Elephas maximus indicus: one gene and its partners. Each later gene encodes a partner of the first gene's protein in a complex. Links are inferred from orthologs where the notes say so. Each region holds a gene or a part of one and is shown in the gene's direction. Other genes may lie near its edges.

Evidence for each region.
Region 2: SNRPD2 (region 1) and SCNM1 share a complex: the UniProt entries of both Homo sapiens proteins name them as parts of the minor spliceosome. The link is inferred for Elephas maximus indicus from reciprocal best matches to the Homo sapiens genes SNRPD2 and SCNM1.
Region 3: SNRPD2 (region 1) and SRRM2 share a complex: the UniProt entries of both Homo sapiens proteins name them as parts of the minor spliceosome. The link is inferred for Elephas maximus indicus from reciprocal best matches to the Homo sapiens genes SNRPD2 and SRRM2.

Annotation. Positions count from the first base shown.
Region 1 is NC_064829.1:103,950,293-103,954,542, forward strand, and holds the start of SNRPD2 (small nuclear ribonucleoprotein Sm D2), read left to right. Parts: upstream 1-1,407; 5' UTR 1,408-1,489; coding exon 1,490-1,491; intron 1,492-3,604; coding exon 3,605-3,784; intron 3,785-4,250. Other genes in the region: QPCTL (glutaminyl-peptide cyclotransferase-like protein), read right to left, coding at 469-675. UniProt on the Homo sapiens protein: Plays a role in pre-mRNA splicing as a core component of the spliceosomal U1, U2, U4 and U5 small nuclear ribonucleoproteins (snRNPs), the building blocks of the spliceosome.
Region 2 is NC_064821.1:185,197,692-185,201,941, forward strand, and holds the start of SCNM1 (sodium channel modifier 1), read left to right. Parts: upstream 1-1,247; 5' UTR 1,248-1,384; coding exon 1,385-1,435; intron 1,436-1,697; coding exon 1,698-1,768; intron 1,769-2,021; coding exon 2,022-2,110; intron 2,111-2,210; coding exon 2,211-2,305; intron 2,306-2,425; coding exon 2,426-2,514; intron 2,515-3,267; coding exon 3,268-3,462; intron 3,463-3,611; coding exon 3,612-3,711; 3' UTR 3,712-4,250. Other genes in the region: LYSMD1 (lysM and putative peptidoglycan-binding domain-containing protein 1), read right to left, coding at 242-421. UniProt on the Homo sapiens protein: As a component of the minor spliceosome, involved in the splicing of U12-type introns in pre-mRNAs. Plays a role in the regulation of primary cilia length and Hedgehog signaling.
Region 3 is NC_064830.1:59,942,814-59,947,063, reverse strand, and holds the start of SRRM2 (serine/arginine repetitive matrix protein 2), read left to right. Parts: upstream 1-916; 5' UTR 917-999; intron 1,000-4,221; 5' UTR 4,222-4,250. UniProt on the Homo sapiens protein: Required for pre-mRNA splicing as component of the spliceosome. As a component of the minor spliceosome, involved in the splicing of U12-type introns in pre-mRNAs.

The DNA of each region.
Region 1 (4,250 bases):
AAGTGCAGAACATGAGAGCAATTCCCACTCCGACCCTACCCCAGGCGCCGCTTCCCCCTAGGAGCCTGGTACCTCTTCATAAGCATCAGGGGCTTCTAGGATAAATCCTAGCCCCAGGAAAAAAGTCCCTTGATGTCCATCTGGTCCAGCCCACCCCAATCCTGATGGGGAAATCAAGGGCCAGGGAGAGGAAGGTTATCTTCCAGGCAGCTGATTTAGGATTAGAGCTCAGTCGCCCAACGCTCAGTCTTACCACTCCAGGCCCTTCCACTTAAGGGGGAGCCAGAATGACAAAACAAACCCGGAACCTTATTCCGATGGAAAGGTGCATGCGCTCGAAAGACGAAGACCGTGGCACCTGCGGTTAGGGCCACACCATAAGGCCACGTCAGTCAACCCGAGACCCTGGAGAAGGGTCGGCGGGGAATAAGGGCCCCCGAGGAGCCCGGGCCCCGCGCCTGGCCTCACCCGCAGCTCTTGGCCCAGCGGCAGCTCCCCGGTGCTGTGGTCCCAGCAGCTCCAGATGATGTAGAACGCTGAGCCCACGGCCAACGCCAGCAGCAGCAGGGGCAACAGCCGCGCCCGCGGTAGTAGGCGGCGCCTGGGCGGTGAGGGGGGCTCCAAGAAGCGCTCCCCGAGCCGTAGCCGGGGCCGCCCACGGCTCCCGGAACGCATGGCAGCTTTGCCAGGCAACCCGGTCCTGGACCGCGGAGCCGCCAGTTCAGGCCCAGCCAAGACCAGCCCCCCATGCAGTAGGAGGACCAATGAGCAACCACAGCGACGGTATTATCCCACCCTGGCGAGCAGAGGAACCAATGGGAACTCTCGGTCCGAGGACACGCCTCCCCGTCTCCCTTGGCAGAATTGGCTCCCCGGAGCGTTGCACAGCCCAAAAGGGAGACCGAAAGGGCTAGGCTCCGCCTCGGCAGAGGAGGGGAAACCAATGGCAAGGGTTCAATCTTGGAAAACTTTCGATCTCTCCGGTGCAGGTCCGCGCCCCTTCCGGATGTAGGCAACGGATTGGTTGTGCTGAGTCGAAGAAATTGATGGACGCGAAAATGAACCGTCCCTGAGGAAAAAGGGGCGGGACCCACCCTTGCAGCCAGGAGCGGATTGGTTTTGCGGAGGCCGCGCCCCCGAAGGCCGGACCGGCGGGTATTTGGAAACGCTGTTTCGCTGCCTTCCTTTAGCCTATCCCGTTATACGGCGAAATGGTTCGAGTCAGACCACCTTTGTTTTTCCCTTCATCGTTGTGAAGATTTGCCCCGAATGGTTCTGAGTGGTCTCGAACCTCTGAGCAAGGCTTTTATCCCATCACTAAGCACAGCTAGCGGGGATCGCTATAGCAACAGGCCACGCCCCATCCGCTGCTTGAGTTTGCGCAGGCGCTGACGGAAGTGGGCCGCAGGAAGCGGAAGTCCCGCCTCTCCTTTCAGAGGCAGAAGCAACGCGGGGGAGACAGGAGTGTCCTGAGAACGCAGCCGGCACCATGTGAGGCCGGGCCCGTACTAGGCGGCGGGAGTGGGGTTGAGGGTGTAAATTTGGCCGATTAACGGTTGGAAGGGGGTGAGAGGGCCCTTTCCTGATAACGAGTCGGGGGCAAAAGCAGAAATTTTATGGAGGACTTTTGATGGATGTGAGAACGGGAACGGGGCCTTTTACAGATGAGTTCGGGAGAGGGGACTGCTTTATCAGATAACGGGCTGGGACCTTTCCCAGGTAATTAGTCTTGTTGAAATAAATACTAAGAGGAAGTGGTTCTACGATTAAGGAACTTGGAGGAGGCGAGTGCGGCCTTTTAGGGGTAACGATTTGAGATGAGAGACTTAGCTGGATGATTTGATCTAGAGACATGCGGCTTTTCAGCCTGATTCGCGACTTTTATGGATATTGGATCACTGGGACTGATTTTACTCACCGAATATCTATTGGGTGCTCATTACGTACCAGGCACTGCTTTACATACCTGGAGTGTGTCAGTGAAAAAAATAGAAACTTCCCTCCCCCCAGAAAAAATGTCTTCCCGGGTGCAGCTTATGAGGGGAAAGGCAGGCAATAAATATAGTAAACAAGTAAAGTATATGTTGTGTTAGGTGAAGCAATAAAAAAAAAAAACCCAAACCCGTTGGCTATCAAGTCGATCCCAATTCATGGCAGTCTCATGTGTTTCAGAGTAGAACAGGTTAAAAAAAATGAAGAACGCCTAACTTAATAACTAGCACAAAAGGCCACATTGAGAAGATGACACTTGAGGAAAGTGAGGCAGGAAACCACACAGATATCTGGGGGGGGATCCAAGCAGGGGGAAAAGCAAATGCAGAGACCCCAGACTGAAAGCTTGCCTAATATCTTCAAAGACCACCCAGGAGGCCATTGTGGCTGGAGCAGGATGGGGGTGTTGCAGATATAGGGCATTGCAAAAACTGCATTTCTACTTCTTACACTGAGATGAAGGAGCACCAGTAGGACAGTGGCTACGCGCTCTGCCGTTGCTAACCAAAAAGTCGGTGGTTCAAAGCTCTCAGCTACTTCAAGGGAGAATGATGTGGCAGTTCTGCTCTGTCCTGTAGGGTCACTATGAGTCGAAACCGATTCGATGGCATCAGGTTTTTTTTTATCAGGTTTACACTGGGATGGGAACCATGGAAGGATTTCGAAGAATGACTTAGTCTTAACACAAGCCGTTGGGCTGCTCTGTGAAGAACAGACTGCCAGGGAGCAGAGGTTGAGGAAGGGAAACCAGTAAGATTCTAGGGGAGAGATGCTGGAGGTTTATGTCAGGGTGGTAACCGTGGTAAGAAATGGTCAGATTCTGCATGTATTTTAGAGGCAGATGACAGGATTTGCTAACAGATGGAATGTAGGTTAGGAGAGGAAGTGAGGAGCTAAGTTGACATTTGAGTTTTTTGCCCAGAAGAATGGAGTTGCCATCAACAGAGATGGAGGAGCTGTGGTTGCTGCACAGCCTGGGACATGCAATGTTAGGAATGCCTATTAGGCATCGTTCTAGTTAGGTCATGCTGCAGTAACACAAGTACCGCGAGTGGTTGGCTTTAAAAAACAGAAATCTATTTTCTCATAGCTCAGGAGGCTAGAAGTCCTTTGGTGGATGATCTGTAGCCCCTGTGTTCCTCAGTTCCTTGGTGATGTGTCTAATTGGCTATTTTTATCACTCAGAACCGATTAAATTTAGGATAGGGCCTCATTAACATCAAAATGAAAATCCTATTCCCAAACATGATCACATCCCCAGATATTAAAAAAAGAAAAAAATCCTGTTGCTGTTAGTCAATTCCGACTCATAGCAACCTCACAGGACAGAGTAGAACTGCCCCACAGGGTTTCCAGTGAGTGGCTGGTGGACTCGAACTGCTGACGTTTTGGTTAGCAGCTGAGTTCCTGTGATAATTCCAACACATATTTTGGAGGGACACAATTTAGTCCATAGCACGCATCCAAATGGTGATGCTAAGAGAGAGGACTGAGCTATAGGAGGGTGGGTGTGTTGAGGCCAGGCTGGGGGAGCCACTGAAGGTTAGGCTGTGATTCCCCCGTGCTCTGGCCCCAGCCCCTCTCACTCACATGTCTCGTGCTTGACATCCAGGAGCCTCCTCAACAAGCCCAAAAGTGAGATGACCCCGGAAGAGCTGCAGAAGCGAGAGGAGGAGGAGTTTAACACTGGGCCCCTCTCCGTGCTCACGCAGTCAGTCAAAAACAATACCCAAGTGCTCATCAACTGTCGCAACAACAAGAAGCTCCTGGGCCGTGTGAAGGCCTTCGACAGGTGAGTGCCTAGGTCTCGGGAGGTGTTCTGTCCAGGCCTGGAGAGCAGCCTACCTCCAATCTGAGAACCCTAAAGACAAGGTTTCTCAGAAGCCCCAAGGGCTGGCTGCCTCTCGTTGCCCCACCAGAGCAGTGGTTGTGAGCATGCACTCAGGAGCTGCCTCACCTGGGTTCACATCCCAACTCTGTTTGTAGCCACCTGACCCTCAGCAGGTCAATTATCAGTCGATTCCAACTCATGGCCAATTCCCTGTGTGTCAGAGTAGAACCGTACTCCATAGGGTTTCCAGTGGCTGGTTTTTCAGAAGTAGATTGCCAGGCTTTTCTTCTGAGGTACCTCTTGGTGGACTTGAACCTTCAACCTTTTGGATAGCAGCTGAATGCTTAACTGTTTTGTGTCACCCAGAGACTGGTGGCAGTAATCATGGTGGTTTCAAAGATTCAGTGACTTAATGCATGTGAAGTAC
Region 2 (4,250 bases), on another chromosome or scaffold:
TATCTGGCATAGAGTAGGCTTCAATAAAGTAGTAGCTGCTCCTCTCCTTTAAGGTAGTGGGGCAGGATTTGCCCCAACCAGAGAGAGCAACACTGACAAGGGAAAACAAACAAACAGATTAAAGCCAGAACAGACACAGCCCCAATTAGGAAAAATCCTGGAAAAGTTACTTAGAGGGGTCACTGCATTCAGGACATTCTCTCCTAACTGGTTGTCAGCACCCTAGTCTTGGAAGACTCACCGTCACCCCGTATTTGAGTGCTAGTCCAGCCAGAGTGTCTCCAGGTTCCAGTTTATGCTCCAGGCGTCTTTCCCTCACTGGGGAGCAGACGGACTGCACCAGGCTTCCATAAGAACGAGCCCGGCTCCCTTGAAGCAGTCCTGATCCCCCGAGGGGGGGCTGTCTAGAGGGAGAAGCCATCTCCTCACCCTGCTGACAGCTCCGGTTGCGACTGAGGGAGGACCGGCTAAGTGATGGACAGTGACGGGCCGGCGTCTGGGAATGGATATCCAGGGAGATCCTTCCCCTTCTCTCCTAAATCTTCCCTTCCCCCCGCCCCGACCTCAGCTCCTCTTCACTCCCCGAACCTCCACCCGCCCCCGTCACTCCTCCCCTCCCTCCCCTAGGGACCTAGGATATTCTAGACAGATATTATCTGCCCTCGCTTTTTCTCCCTCCAAGTCCCTTTTCCACAAATCTGGTCCCCTGGGTATTCAGTCTCTACCAAAGTCTCCCTTTGGAACCCCACAACTCCTCGCTACACTGACCTTTGACCTTGGAACTCTAGGTACCTTCCTCAACACCCTTTCCTCAGTTTGCTCCACAGCCGGGCAGCCCGGGCTCCCGACCCCCCTTCGCCCCAGCTCCGCCCCGTCCCGGGGTTGATCCCCTAGGGTCTGGAACGAGCCGGGCCCACCCTAGGTGAGCTGACGTCGCAGATGAAGAGCGGGTGGTTGGAGAGTTTGTAGTCCACTATCCACTCATCGATCCTTAAGGACCTACTCCGCATCAGATCGGTCTTAAATTCGGGTTCAAGCATCAGCTCCACATATAGGTTCTTGTCTCTTCAAATGCTTCGAATCTGCCGAGATTCAAGGGCCTGCTTCCAGCCGGGCGACAAGTTCTTTGAGAAAAGACTTCATTTCCCAAGAGGCTTCGCGCCGGCGGGGTCGCAGGGCACCATAGGAAAAGCAGTCCCCTTTGCGCAAGAACAGTGTTTTCAGAATCGCGCAATGCATGCGGGGAAGCACACCCCGGAAGTAACGAGGCCAACCGGAAAAGACAGGCAGAGGGCGAGGAGACACCCCTCTACCGCTACGGTGGCCTGAAGGGAGTGAAAAATTTGGTACCGCGAATTTGTTGCTTCTGAGGCTGACAGTCGCGATGTCTTTCAAGAGAGAAGGAGACGATTGGAGTCAACTCAATGTACTCAAAGTAAGCGCGAAAGTAGAGGGTCTGGAGCAGCTTCAGCCACCCTCTGAAAACTCTGAAAGAGCTTTGTTTCGTTGCTCTGGAAACAGCTCGGAGGGATGAGGGGCGAGAGGGAGTCAGGCTCCTAGACCTCTTCTTCGCCCTATGATCGCTTGTTTCCAATGGACCTTATTCCCTTTGATGCCTCGTCTCTATCATTTTTCCCTTCCATCTCTGCCTCCTGTCCCGCTTATTCCGTTCGGATTTGTTCCCTTACTCCCTCCAGAAACGAAGAGTCGGGGACTTGCTGGCCAGTTATATCCCAGAGGATGAGGCGCTGATGCTACGGGATGGACGGTGAGGGCGAGGAAGGATTCAAGCCTGAGAGTTCTGCGGTTGGAGGCTCAATAAGCTTTTGTTATTATGGGGGAGTTCTGGAGTATCTAAAATTCTTTGGCAGAGAGTGAGAGACTGGAAGAGACAGGGATGTGGGCGGTGGAGGTTAGAACTGGGAGTAGGGCTTTGGAAAGGACTACTAGGACAGGATGGAACCTACAGCAGACCTCCCACTCCTACCCCTGTACCAACTGTCTTCTTTACCCCTCCTCAGCTTTGCTTGTGCCATCTGCCCTCACCGGCCTGTATTGGACACCCTGGCCATGCTGACTGCCCATCGTGCAGGGAAGAAACATCTGTCCAGTAAGTTTAAAAGAGTGCATGGGATAGAGTGTAAACCCTTGAAACCTCTGCAGACCAGTCTTAGCGCTTTGCTTTTAATTCCCTCCCCCCTACTCCTCAGGCTTGCAGCGTTTTTATGGCAAGAAGCAGCCAGGAAAGGGAATGGAGCAGAATCCAAGACAGCAGAATGAACTGAGGGAGGAGAACAAAGCTGAGGTAATCAGAGCGGGAAAGGTGTGTCCCAGACAAGACCCTGCTGCACACCCCAGGCTTGAAGGGCTTTGGCTTCTCTCTAGCTCTCATGGCTCTGATTCTTTTCCCCTATCCCCATACCAGGCTCCTCTGCTGGCCCAGACTCGATTTATCACTCAGAGTGCTCTACACAGAGCTCCCCACTATAACAGTTGCTGCCGCCGGAAGTACAGGTCTGTGGGATGGGAAAGCCAGAGAAAAATATGACTTGAGCATGGGAAATAGGGAAAGGATAGCATTACTGTATTAGCTCTTAAATTTGTCCCTGATCCATCTTGAGTTAATTTTTGTACACAGTATGAGGTGGCGGGGGGTGTCCAACTTCATTCTTTTACATGAGGATTACCCAGTTGTCCCAGCACCATTTGTTTAGAAGGCTATTCTTTCCTCACGGCACGTTGCTGTATTAGGAGGAATTAAGAATAGGGGAATAACAGTGAAAGGTCTTTCACATTGGTTAGGGACATAAAAAGATGGAGACAGTGGGTGGAAAAGAACTACTAGTATGGGAATCAGTAGGGAGGGACAGTGGGAGATAGATGGCTCTAAAATTATTGTCTTCCCAATCGTATCCTGAGGAATACTATGTTCTGAAGATGCTAATTGGTATTCCAGGAAAAAAAAATTTTTTCGTGATTTCAAATAAAGTTTGGGATATGGCGCTTTGTAATTCTACTTTAAGCATAGTGATATTAGCATATTTAAGGGCTCTACAAAGTCTTGAAATTAAAAAAAAAACCTTTAAAAATTTTGTTTAACCTAGGCTTTCCCAAATTCATTTGACTTCAAAATCCTTTTTATGCACAATTCTCATTAATAGCTTGAGGAACATGGTTTAGAAAACGCTGCATTAAGGGGTTGGGAGTCACAGGAGAGCTGGCCCTTTCCTTTACCACTTTTACAGACTTCAATCCTTCTCCACCCAGACCAGAAGCCCCTGGTCCCTCCGTCGTCCATTCCCGTTTGCCACCTGCAGAGGCTGAACTCCAAAGTCGGAAGATCAGCAGGGAATCTGAGCCTGAAACAGGTCCACAGGCCAAGAAATCAGCAACTGTCCCAGCCCCTGTACCCATGAGCCCCACGAGAAGACAAGCCCTGGATCGTTACCTCACTCTTCGAAGGTAAGTATGCCGAATCACTTCCCTCGCATTTGCTCTTTTCTCTCTGGCCTTTTTTTCAAACCTACTGAGTTTTTTTCTCATCCCTACTAACTTCTTAATAAACCTCCTATCCTCATTCTGACCAGTTCTGTTTACTCTGATGTTTCCAGCTCTGGATGGATCCCAGATGGACAGGGTCGATGGGTGAAAGATGAAAATGTTGAGTTTGACTCTGATGAGGAGGAACCCCCTGATCTCCCCTTGGACTGATACCCTCTTTCCCCATTCAGTTCACAAATAAACTACAACAGGTGCTGGGAGCCTAACTTTCCTCAAGTCTGGTTCATTGTCCCATCTCAGGATATGAAATCTGTTCGTTCTCAGGTTAGACACTCCTTCCTTACAAGGTACACAGCACCCCATAATTCTAACCCCTCCCCACCTTCTACCAACGTCATGCCAAGCGTCAGCTGCATGCAGCTCAGTGCCCTATTAATAAGTCTGTCAGAAGCAGGTCTTTGCCCTTCATGTTGTCTACTTCCTTCCCCACCTCCACTGAAAGTCCTTTCCCCCTTCAGATGGCATGAAGGCTCTGGGTAGGCCCTTGGGGGGGACCCAGCCACATCTCGAAACAGAGCTGAGGCTAGGTACCCTATGAAAGTAGAATAGACCAAAGGCACTGGCAGAGTTATAGGGAACACCAAGGGAGGGAGCTCCCCCACCTTCCCCTGGTAACCTGAACCTCCCTGCCTGCTGATCCCCAGAGTATAAATAATCCCCTGGTGAACTGGCAGTAACCCTTGGGGCCT
Region 3 (4,250 bases), on another chromosome or scaffold:
CTCCCTCAGGGGTTCTCTGTTGTGTTCCCCGTCAGGGCAGTCATCGGTTGTAGCCGGGCACCATCTAGTTCTCCTGGTTTCAGGATGATGTAGTCGCTGGTTCATGTGGCCCTTTCCATCACCAGGATTTTTACGGGGCAGGCCAAGCAAGCTGTTTAAAGCATTTGAATTTTCTGAAGCCTGTGGACTTCTGCCTTATGTGTGTACACATTCACATATAAAACATCCCAGATTCAGTATGAGAAAATTGCATCCCTGCCTGGTCACCCTAGCTGGGAGGCAACAGAAGATTATTCCCCAGGGTCTCCTCCTGTCTGCTGGCGTCTGAGGCAGCTTCTCAAAACTGCAAAAGGTTGGGGTCTGCAGCCCATAGTTACAAGCAAGAATCAGAGTCGCTGCGCTCCGACCATCACCCCTAACATAGGAACATAAAATGGCGGCCGTGCTCCGAGGCCAAGCCACATACGGGTTCTGTGGCACGCCGGAACTACAACTCCCAGAATGCTCCCGGCCGAAGGCCGCCGGTCGCTGTGGCCCTAGGCTCTGTATTATTGCCCCCGCCCCCCAACCCTCCCAACCGTGGAAGGCCTACGGACACGTCTCCAGCCTTCCTCGCACTGGCCGATGGAACTCGCAGTTTTTCGGCCTCAAGGTTGAATCTCTCTGGGGCCTTAAGAAACTACACTTCCCAGTGGCATTTGGGCACAAGCGCACAAGGCCGTGGGGCATACTACGGTTCCCGGAGGGCCCTGCGACGCGCGCGATTGCGTGATGACGCGCTGAGCGAGTCGTGCTGACGTGCAGCGCGTGCAGCGCGGCCCAGGCGGGGTACCAGTGGCGCAGTTGGAGCCCGCTGCGGCCCGAGTAAGCGAGGAGACGTCAGCATCGGCTGAGGCGGGCAGACCAGCGAGGCGTGGCGGCGGCAGCGGCGGCTCCGGGCCTCAGGGGACTCGGGAGCTCGAGCAGCGGCAGCGGCGGGACCTCTCCCGATCAGAAAAGGCAGGCGGCGGCGGCGGCGGCGGCGGCGGCGGGTGAGAGGGTGAGGGAGCGCGTGAGCTGGGTGGGGGAGGGGCGGCCGCGGCGCGAGGCCAAAGCGCGCGGAGAACGGCCCAGGCCGCCTCGCGCACGCGCTCTCGGCACCCCCGGCTTGTGTGGACGTCTTAGCCTGCCTGCTTCCCCTCCCCCCTCCTGCGGCTCCTGTTGCGCGCGGGCTTCGACTCCCCGCTCTTCCCCCATGGTAACGGCGCGCGCCGCTGACCGCCCTCGTGCTCGCGCGCTCCGGTCGCGGCGGGCGCGCGCGCTCCTCGGTTCCTCGCCGCTGCCCGCGCGTGCGGCCCGGGAGGGCCTTGTCGGCGTTTCTGAGGTGCGGGTGGTTGGGTGGCGGAGGGCCTGACCCCAGGTCCTTGCCCCCGCCCCCGGTCTTTTTCCCCCGCTTTTCTCTCGGGTGGTAGGCTCCGCCGACCCCCCGGGAGGCCCGGGTTCATCCCACTCCTCCTAGACTGCGGGGCGCTGCGCCGCCCCCTCCCCCACCCCGGGAGGCCGAAAATAGGCCTCGGCGGCCCAGACGGCGCAGTAGGGCCTGGAAACAGTGCCTCATGAAGCACAGCGCGTGGACTGGGTACTATTTTCCATGGAGTATTTGGGGTGGGGGGCGTACTTTAGAAGAGCCCATGTATTCAGCTCAGATCTTAGATTTATAGAGTGCGCACCGCGTGGTCCTTTTTTCTCCACTTTTTTTTTTCCGTCACTTCTCCAAATTCGTGCTAAAGCGTGGGAGGCTGTCCAGTCCTTGGTTGTGGAGAAAACGCCGGAATCTGTTTGAGAGGTCTGGCGTTCTGCTTCAAGCACTGTTTGGTGCAACGTTTCTGAGTCTTTTTTTTACAGAGTCTCAGTTACTACTCACACATCTCTGTATTCTGGATCGAGAAATTTAAAAGTTTGTTCTGTGGTCTTTCCTTGTGTAATCGTGTTCTGTCGAGCCCACTCAGCCACTGTAATGCCCCAGCCCTGAGCGTGTTGTCCGTATCTTGCATTTTCTTGGGCATTCTGCCTCTCTTCTTGGTGCATTTTCTCTTCTTGAGTGCCTGTACTGAATTTTAGTTTTTTCCTCTGCCTCTTTTATTTGGCACCCCGATAATTTTCCCACAGAAAAAAATTCTCCTGTTTTTGCAGCTCGCTTTTACTTAGTGCCTGTACCTTGGGTACATTTTGCATATCCACAATTTATGGACCTAGTTATAAGAATCTGTGTTTTATAAAGTGGCGTGGTGGTTTGTATGTGTGTGGTTGATATTCCCCTTTGCATGGCTGCTTTCCTTTTAGTGTTTTGAGCGCTGCCTTGGATGCCATGGTATTGGGTTTTTCTTTTTTGGCTCCTCCCCTAAAAGTTCTGTAATTCGTTGTGCCGTAATACCCTTATCAACTTAGCAGCTGCTAGGGAGTGGGCGGATTTTTGTGTGAGGTGGTATGGAAGTGTGCCTGAATGGTTAACTGAAGAATTTCAGGTCAGAAGCATTCTCTAAGGGAGCAGCAGATTTTAGGCAGGCCATAGAGGAAAGAAGGACTTAGGTGTGGAGAGTGGGAAGGATTGGTATTTAAGAAAATAGAAATAAAGATTGGAAGGCAGAACATCTATTTTCTGTGCTGTAAAGGAAGTTTTTTTTGTTTAATCTTTTTGTGCATTTGCATTTGCTTTCCCTAGATAATGACCTCACCTGTTCCTCCTTTAACCTGGTATAGTTCCTTTTTTTCCTCCTTCATTCTTTTGGGTCTGCTGCTTGGGTTGAGTGGTCATTCTGGAATCTCCGTTCTTTTCAGCATCTTTCCTCCTTTTTTCTCTTACCACTTTAGTGCATTTTCTAGTTATTCATGTGATAATCCTTTGTTTTGAAGTTTAAGTGTAACTTTTTTTATCTGATTATTTCATTTGCTTTTCCTCACCTCTGCCTAATGTGTCTTCTTTGCCTGAGCCTTGGGTCTTTTCCTGTGATAGTTTGCCCTCACACATTTATGCTTTGTAAAACTGTCTTGGCGAGGATGGGCGAGAGAAAGGAACGAAGAGTGTAACATACAGCAGGAGACAGGAATATGTGTGGCTAAGAAATCTGAGTAGAAAAATGGGGGCCTGGCGCTCTTTAGGGTCATGCGTGGGGTGGGAGGCATAGGAGTAACAGGAGAAAGGGTAAGGTGAGGCTTATAAGAGAATAACCAGAAAGTGACATTTAGGGTATCGGTAGTGAAAGCCAAGGACGGGTTAGTATGACTGAAAGTGAAGTGTAGAGAATATTGGTGGGTTTAGGGCAAATAGGGTAGAGAAGCTGTGAGAGTAGTTTTAACAGTGACTAGTTTGATATATTTAAATAGAATTTGAATTGAAAACAGGTAGTATTTAATGGGAGCTAGAGTCGACTGGTTTTTTAGTAAGATTTGGAGAGAATTACCAATCAAATGAGAAATCTTATTGAGAAGGAAATTAAGGGAAGAAAATATCAATCAGGACAGTGGAGAGGAGCTATGAATATTTAGAATCAAGGAAGTGGCCTCTTATCTGGGAGGTGAAGTATTAGAGCATTATGTATCTAAAGTTCATGTGGTTTCTGATGTGCTTGCTGGCCTTCATTCTGAGTGAAAGGCTGTACAGGACGCTTGTTTCTCTTAACCAGTCAGGCCACTTGCTCAGATGAGTATGGGCCCTTTAGTCCATTTTGTATATGTACGGTGGCCTCAAAGCCTCAGGTTGTATCTTGGAAGAGACTTGGACTACAGGCCCTAGGATGCTACAGATCTGTGTCTGGTGTTGGTCATGCCCTATTTGGAGGCCTCAGTCAGTTACCAGAGGTTAGGAAGATGCTATTTGTGTGTATTGGAACCAAAGCAGGATGAAGGGACGACAGCGGAGAGATGTGAGAGAAGTACGATTCTTGTTGGTCTAGGGTGGAAAAAGACAAAAATGTAGGTGCAAGCAGGAATGATTCAGAATTCTGTGTAAGAACACTGGGGGAAAGCCTATGAGAGCTGGTCTGTGATTTGGTGGAATGTGAGCAGTGCGGGAAGGACGAAAAAGCGAGACCTGATTAGGAGACCAGAAGGACAATGAAGTACAGTGTGCAGCTAAAGGAGGCTAGTGCAGAGATAAATGTTGAAGGAGAGCAGAGACTTCGGTGGTGGTAAGTGGTTAGTTTGGGGCCAGGGCCTGACCCGTGTCTCCCCGCTCCCCCCCAGGAGCGGTGGTGCCCCCCGGGCACGGGGCC